2 linked regions of the Callithrix jacchus genome follow. The protein of the gene in region 1 purifies or fractionates together with the protein of each later gene. This does not show direct contact. Links are inferred from orthologs where the notes say so. Each region holds a gene or a part of one and is shown in the gene's direction. Other genes may lie near its edges.

Region 1 (3,743 bases):
GAGAAACTGAACAGACACGGTTCCTGATTCAATGGAGTTTACAATCCACGTAGGGATACAGACAAACCATTTCAATAGCTCGGATGGAGAAAATACCTGTGCTCAAGGATACCTAACTCGGCAAGCTTCCCTGAGGAGCGACCCTAAACTGAACCACAAAGATGGTTAAGAAGAAATGAGGCAGCAGGGTGTGGTGGCTCATGCCTGTAATCTCAGTACTCTGGGAGGCCGAGACAGGCGGATGAGAAGGTCAAGAGATGGAAATCATTCTGACCAACATGGTGAAACCCCGTCTCTAATAAAAATACAAAAATTAGCCGGGCGTGGTGACGCGTGCCTGTAGACCCAGCTACTAGGGAGGCTGAGGGAGAGAATCGCTTGAAACCAGAAAGCGGAGGTTGCAGTGAGTCGAGATCGCGCCACTGCTCTCCAACCTGGCGACAGAGCGAGACCCCGTCTAAAAAAAAAAAAGGTTACTACGGTTTGCAGCACACTTACTGATGCTTCAGCCAGTGGCTGGAAACCTTATAACAGGCAGACCTAGCTCCGAAGATCCTCTTCATAACACTACTGTCGCCAAGACTGGAAGCTGCCCAAGCACGAGGGTCCTTTTAGAGGGACCTCAGACTCAGTTTATTTTGGTCTGTGCCTCAAATTAAACACAAGTCGGCCTGGCGCCGTGGCTCACGCCTGTAATCCCAGCACTTTGGGAAGACGAGGCAGGCGGATCACGAGGTCAGGCGATCAAGAGCATCTCAGCCATGGTGAAATCCCGTCTCTGCTAAAACACAAAAAATTAGCCGGGCGTGGTGGAGGCGCGCGCCTGTAGTCCCAGCTACTCAGGAGGCTGAGGCGGGGAATCGCTTGAACCCGGGAGACGGAGGTTGCAGTGAGCCGAGATCACGCCACTGCACTCCAGTCTGGGCGACAGAGCAAGACTCTGTTTCAAAAAAAAAAAAAAAAAAAAAGCCACATGTCTTACATTTCTCCCAGGTCCCAATTTTCAGGTCTTTTTATTTGTTTTTCTTTGTCCCTCCCTGCTCCTAAGCACCTTCGGCTGGGAAGACATTCTTCAGGTGCAGAAACCAGGGGGAGGCTCCCTGAACAGTGGGGGTTAGCTCAGGACGCTGTCATTTTTGCTGTAGAGTCTCTCCTGCAGCGCTGGGGCGGAAGGCTCAAAGTAACCACCCAGAGCAACCGCAGAGGGAAAACCGAAGACAGTCGTGGTCTGGCCTACCGCTTCTCACCCTCTCGCTGTCTTCTTTCCGCCGCGCAGCCTCAGCTCTTTCCACAGTACGAACGGCGCTTGATTGACAAGTGGGCCCGCCCAATCCCAGTGCGGCACAGACCACTGTCGCGTCAAGGACCGGGAAAGGGGGCGACTGAACCTATCAGATTGGGTCGGGAGTGGGTTTCCTGCCCGCGCGGATCCGCCTGCCCACCGCGCGTGCCCCGCCCCTCTCCCGAGAGCTACGCGGCGGTAGAGCGCAGGCCTCGTGCCGTTACGGTCATCACGGCGACCGCGGCGGCGTCCCGGTGCCTTCCTCAGGTGAGCTGGAGCTAGCCGGCACGGAAGACGGAGGGTGAGATGGCCTTGCTGGGAGGCCGACACACACACACCCCCTCCTTCAGTCGGCTGTCCGTCCTCACAGCCTGTTACTCGCTGCGTCGCTTCCTCTTCCCCCGCTGAGTTAGCCCCGGGGGCGCCGTCTGCAGGCTCGGAGCTGAGCCGGAGGGGATGCGGAGGCTGCTCGGCGGGGCCCGGACGTCTGCACTGGGATTCCGCGAGACCCTTGGGGCTCTGCCCCAGGGAGCGCGAACCCGTGGCCTCCTTGTCAGCCCCTGGAGCGCTGCGTCGGGGTTAGAGCCCGGGCGACCGCCCCTGCGAGGCTGGGAGGTCGAGTGTGCGGCTCGCTCGCCGGCTTGTCTATTTTCTACTGAAAAAGTCCTGTTGCCAGCTGTGGCGTAATCCAAGACCGGGAAGGTAGGGACGTGGTAGAAGGGAGGGCGCTCTCACCTCCAGCCCGAGAGGAGGAGGGGGCGGCAGCCTGCGCGGTGCTGAGGGTGGACATATTCGGGACGCGCCCTCGCCCCTCCCCCTACCCGCCGGCGGTTTTCTGGTCCGGGGCTTTGACTTTAAACGTCTGGACCTGCTTCACATTCGTACGCGAGTTGCTGGGGGTGTAAACTTTTGACTTGAGTTGTAATATGTTTGGTAAAAAAATTATCTCGATAGTTTTGTAACATTTCTTGTATGTTAACGTATAAGTTAAATTTGCCGTTAGAAGCTCAGGAAGCTGGATTTGTTCAGGGCTGAGGACGTAACGGTAGGAAGGCTCTCGGTGTCAAATCGATGGATCTGGAGTCAACTGAAAATAATTCTACACGTTATATTAGGTAAGAAGCCTTAGGAATTGTGAAAGAATGAGGTTAAGAAGAATTTCCAACTCCTTTTTGGGAGGGGAGCAAAGCAGCTCAATGCCCCAAAACGGGTAAGTGTTGCCAAGAGGTCCTCATTTTTTTTTGGTTGTTGCTGATTTTTTTTTTTTTTTTTTTTTTTTTTGAGACAGAGTCTTGCTCTGTCGCCAGGCTGGGGTGCAGTAGCGCGATCTCGGCTCACTTGCAACCTCCGCCTCCCGAATTCAAGCGATTCTCCTGCCTCAGCCTCCCGAGTAGCCGTGCTACCGTCGCGGGCCATTACCACCCCCAGCTAATTTTTGTATTTTTAATAGAGACGGGGTTTCACCGTGTTGGCCAGATGATTTCCATCTTCTGACCTCGTGATCCGCCTGGCTCGGCCTCCCAAAATGCTGGGATTACAGGTGTGAGCCACCGTGCCCAGCCAAAGTACTCATTTTAAAAATCTTTCTTGGATAGACTTACGGCAAACCAACAATAATGATTTCTTCAGCACCTGGAAAGCGCTATGTCTAAACTCTCAGCCTTCAGCGAGGTCACACAGTAAATGGGGAAATAACCCAATAAGAAAGTTTTGTTTGTTTGGTAATTGTCAACGTTTGTTCTTTTCTTTTTTTAAAACACTTTATTTTCTTGTGGGGATGGAGTCAGTGATGTTCTTAAATAGGCATTCCATTCACAACTTGATAGTAATATGCACTGGTTAATAAATGGTACTTTCTTTTCATCTTGACCACAAGCTCTGAGGCTTTCTTCTTTGGGAAAATTATGGTCTGTGGGAATTGGCTCTAATATCCATAAAGATAGATTGCAGAGTGTTCAGATCTACTAGCTGTTGGTTCATGTATTAAATTTTTAAATGTGTACTTATTTTTCTAGGCATTATCTTTTGTCCAGGTTTCTGTAGTGCTTTCAGGTCCATGTAAATAAAACTTGAAACCTACCTGTAATGTTTTGTTAGTTACTGAATGAGACCAGGCGAGGTAGTTCAAGCCTGTAATCCCAGCACTTTGGGAGACCAAGGCGGGAGGATAGCTGGAGTCCAGGAGTTTGAGATCAGCCTGGGCGATATAGTGAGACTCTGTCTTTAAATTAGAAAATTAAAAAAAAAATTTAAAAAGGAAAATAAAAAGAAAAGTGATATTAAGTGATGCTTTGTGTTTCTTGGTTTCTTTGAGATGGAGAAACATAAAGACTTGCTCTGTTGCCCAGGCTGGAGTGCAGTGGCATGATCTTGGCTCATTGCAACCTCTGCCTCCTGGATTCAAGCGATTCCTATGCTCAGCCTCCCCAGTAGCTGGGACTACAGGTGTGTGCCACCACAC
Region 2 (3,743 bases), on another chromosome or scaffold:
ATGACTTCTCTAATTCAGCAGTAAGGAGAGTGGACAGGAGTCTCGGTGGGCAACCACTCCGGGGTTGACGTCCTTCTTTCCATGGGGACTCTAGGGACAAGGCTTGATGTAGCTGTGGATTGCTCTCCTGTTTCCTAGAAAGCTTACAGGGCAGCAGGAAGAAACGGGTTAGCTATGTCTTTACTGGTAGAGCTGAGCTTCGGGTGCCATCTCTGCCATGTGTTCGGCATCTGATCGGTAAAACGGGGACCATGATGGGAGGTGAGGCAGTAGACAGCTCTTCGTGAGGTTCCTGCTGGTTGCTGTTATCACGGAGAGCACATTGTCCTCGTAATCCAGAATTCATACTGCCACTTGAATAGTTTGTGTATTTGCAAAGAAAATTTTAAACACTTAACTCAAGGCTAGAAATAAATGCAGTTAGTTATTGCAAGAGAAAACCACCGGCAGAGGCAGAGGGAGACGACCTAAGCCTCTGATTATTTTTGGAAGCTTTATGTGCTTTCTGGCCTCTGCCACTGAATGGATTAATGGATGTGCCTGGCATAGAGTAAGCGCTTTGCTTGTTCAACTGCCCGCGGGTCGCAGCGAGCAAACTGGGGAGAGCGCTCAGGGGCAGTGGGTGGAGTGAGTGGAGACGCGCGTCCTTTTAAGAAAAGGCTCCATTTGTTCCTCGCGTGGAAATGTGTGCGTGTCATCAGGTGCTCGAGGAAGCTCGCGCATGACCCGACAGCTGCCGTCTGGGATCTCCAGGTTCGGCCTGGCGCGTTCACAGCGCGGTCTCCAGCCCTGCTCTTCCGTGACGCTGCGCCCCCCGACTCGCAGCCCTGACCGACCCGGCCCTTCGCACAGCCCTGCTTCAGGCCGCCCATTCTCCTTGACCTTCCCCCAGCAGGGTCTGAGGCGTCGCCGCCCGTTTCGAGCGGGGTCACGCAGGCCCCTTCCCGGCCTGGAAGGTCAGCGCCGCGCGCTGAGCGTCAGTCCCCGCTCAACCCCCGCTCCAAACCCCGCCGGCCGCAGATGTCATCCTCATCCGTGCTCCGCAGTGACCGGAGGGAGCGAAGGGAAACAAACCAACGTCTCGTTTTCAGCCTCTCCCCGCCACCGTGACACAAAACCGGCAAAAATAAAAAGAGCATTCTGGGAAGCACTTCATCATTTCAACGCTCACGAATTCAAAACATAAACAAAGGGCTCCCGGGGCCCCGGCCGGGGGCGCGGGGCGCGGGGCGCGCGGCGGGCCCGGGGCAGGTGAGCGCAGGTGCGCGCCCGCCCCCGCCCGGGGCCCCCGGCTCCTTCTCCCCGCGCCCTGCGCCCCACGCTCCGCTCCCCCTTCCCCGCCCGCTCCCCGCTGCCGCCGCCGCCGCCGCCCCGCGCACGGCCTGGAGCGGAGGCTGCGCAGGGCGCGGGGCGGCGCGGGCCGGGCGCGGGCCGGGCGGACGGCCGCGTCTTTCTTCTCCTGGCGGTGATGTCATTGGGCGACGGCGGCCGAGGCCGGGGGGCGGCGGCGGGCGCCCGCAGGTTCCTGAGCCGCTCCTGAGAAGGCGCCTGACCGTGGGCCGGGGCGCACGGAGGAGCGGGCCGGGCCGGGCCGGAGCTGCTGGGCCGCGCCGAGCCGATCGCCGGCGCCGGCCGCTCCATGGGCGAGGAGGCGGCGGCGGCGGCGGGGGCGGTGGGGGCCGCGGGCCGGGCAGCCGCTCCGAGGTGAAGCAGGCGCGCGCCCCTCCCCGCCCGCCCGCCTCCCGGGCCGCCGCGATGAATTCCGCGGAGCAGACCGTTACGTGGCTCATCACCCTGGGGGTGCTGGAGTCGCCCAAAAAAACCATCGCGGACCCGGAGGGCTTTCTGCAGGCGTCGCTGAAGGATGGGGTGGTCCTCTGCAGGCTGCTGGAGCGCCTGCTGCCCGGGACCATCGAGAAAGTAAGTCCTCGCCCGCGCCCCCCGGCCCGGCCCGCTGCGGCCCGGGATGCGCGCGGAGCACCTGGGGCCGGCCGCGCTCGGGGGACCGCGCGCCCTCCTTTGTGCGCGGAGCGGCGGCGCGGCCGGCGCCAGGACCGTGGCGGGAGCTCCGGGGGCGCCATTGTGAGCGGGGCTGGGTAGGGGGCGGGAGGAGGGGCGCGGGCGGTGGGGGTCCGAACGCCGAGTGGCCCCTCCGCGCTGGAGGTGGGCTCCGCTGCCTCGCCGCGGCCCGGTCGGAACCGCGTTCCGACGCCGTGCGGCTCTGTCCGCTGGCTTTGTGTGGACAGTTCTTGCCGGTGGCGTTGCGTGTTTCGCCTCCCGGTGAATGGACCGGTTGCTCTGCATTTTTAAAGATGCTCGCATCTGCGGCTGAGGGCTGCGCTGGGAAATGATGTACTTACTTTCCCCTGGAGAAAATTACCCCCATCCGAGAGGACGGCAGACACAGGGTTTAAGCCCCGGCACTCTGCAAGGCTTGTTTAAAATTTCAGATTTCGTTCTCAGGTCCCTCCCTGGTTCTGAATAGAACCCAGAGTCCTGCAGGCACTGCCTCTCCCTCCCCTCTGGTAGTTCCCAGACTGGAGCGTGTGAACCCTGACCCGAATTTCTGGAAGTGATTAAAGTTTGTTTTCATCGCCCACAAACCGGCCAGCAGGGCCCAGGAGACAGGAGAGCTTCTAAAAACGAGGTCTCCCTGTAGCTCAAAATACCAATCTTATTCCCAGGGTTTTTTTTTTTTTTTTTTTTTTGGAGGAGGGGAGGGTGGTGGGTGGCCAATACACAGCGTTCAGATCAACAATTATTTAAAATGTGTTAAATACAGAAACTGAAGAGTACCACAACTAGGAAGAACGACTTAAGTTTCTAAGTGGGGTGTATTGGCCCCCATACAGCATGACAACTTGTAAATAAAATGCCACCTAAGTGACTTGAAAAGTAAAATGTTTAATCTTATACACGTGCGCATGTTCTGCTGCTACATTTTAAATGAGGTCAGAAAACATTAAATGTGAATTTGGCTTACATTCCAGTTTTAGGTATTTTTCTTACTTGGCACATTTTTATGAAGACGGAATCTGCATATTAGAGTGTCCATGAAATAAAAACGTTCCTTTAAAATGAACCTGATGTCACAGTGACATGATGATTTAAGACAGGAGGACTAAGGAGCAGGATCTGACTTTCAAGGCATTCAAAATACTTTGTTGTTTGGAGACTGGTACCTCTGGTAATACAAGACAGATGTCGAAAAGTGTTGAAATACATGCTAAGTTCGCCAAAATAGGCTTGAATAAAATCCTGTATCATCTCTGAAAGCAAAGCTTTGAGAAACTTCATATGCCGTGTTGATAAAAACGTGTCGCCATCAAAGAATGTGGTGTTTGGCATATTAACTGCATTAATAGTGATTGACAGGCTTCAATAATCATTTTCTTCTGAATTCTAGAAAGATTTTCCTAGAAAACTGTAGCATTCATTTCAACTCTAAAACAACGGAGAGAGGAATGAATAAAATGTTGAGCTTGCAGAAGCCAACTTAAAACAACTCAACATATTCTAAAACTGCAGTCATTTGGAAATGTCTTAGGTCAAATATGTTTTTCATTCCCCCCCAAGCTCCAGTTGGTTTGTTTTAAACTGACTCTGTCACAGTGAAAGTTTAATGTAAAGCAGCATATTGTAGACACAGTTGCTGGTTCTCTGGAATTCAAAGGTAGGTTTTTGGAGCAAAATAGCCATTTCTGTCTCTAAGATCCCTGCGTTTCAGAAGTTTTGTGAGCTTT

What was found. The genes of interacting proteins can lie anywhere in the genome.
Region 2: the proteins of NCK1 (region 1) and ARHGEF7 purify together in Homo sapiens (co-immunoprecipitation; 3 studies listed by BioGRID and IntAct, with this or other methods). This does not show direct contact. The link is inferred for Callithrix jacchus from reciprocal best matches to the Homo sapiens genes NCK1 and ARHGEF7.

What each region holds. Positions count from the first base shown.
Region 1 is NC_133518.1:47,383,374-47,387,116, reverse strand, and holds the start of NCK1 (SH2/SH3 adapter protein NCK1), read left to right. Parts: upstream 1-1,465; 5' UTR 1,466-1,549; exon of another isoform or gene 1,550-1,984; intron 1,985-2,292; exon of another isoform or gene 2,293-2,397; intron 2,398-3,743. UniProt on the Homo sapiens protein: Adapter protein which associates with tyrosine-phosphorylated growth factor receptors, such as KDR and PDGFRB, or their cellular substrates. Maintains low levels of EIF2S1 phosphorylation by promoting its dephosphorylation by PP1.
Region 2 is NC_133502.1:26,672,786-26,676,528, forward strand, and holds the start of ARHGEF7 (rho guanine nucleotide exchange factor 7), read left to right. Parts: upstream 1-1,389; 5' UTR 1,390-1,755; coding exon 1,756-1,920; intron 1,921-3,743. UniProt on the Homo sapiens protein: Acts as a RAC1 guanine nucleotide exchange factor (GEF) and can induce membrane ruffling. Functions in cell migration, attachment and cell spreading. Promotes targeting of RAC1 to focal adhesions. May function as a positive regulator of apoptosis.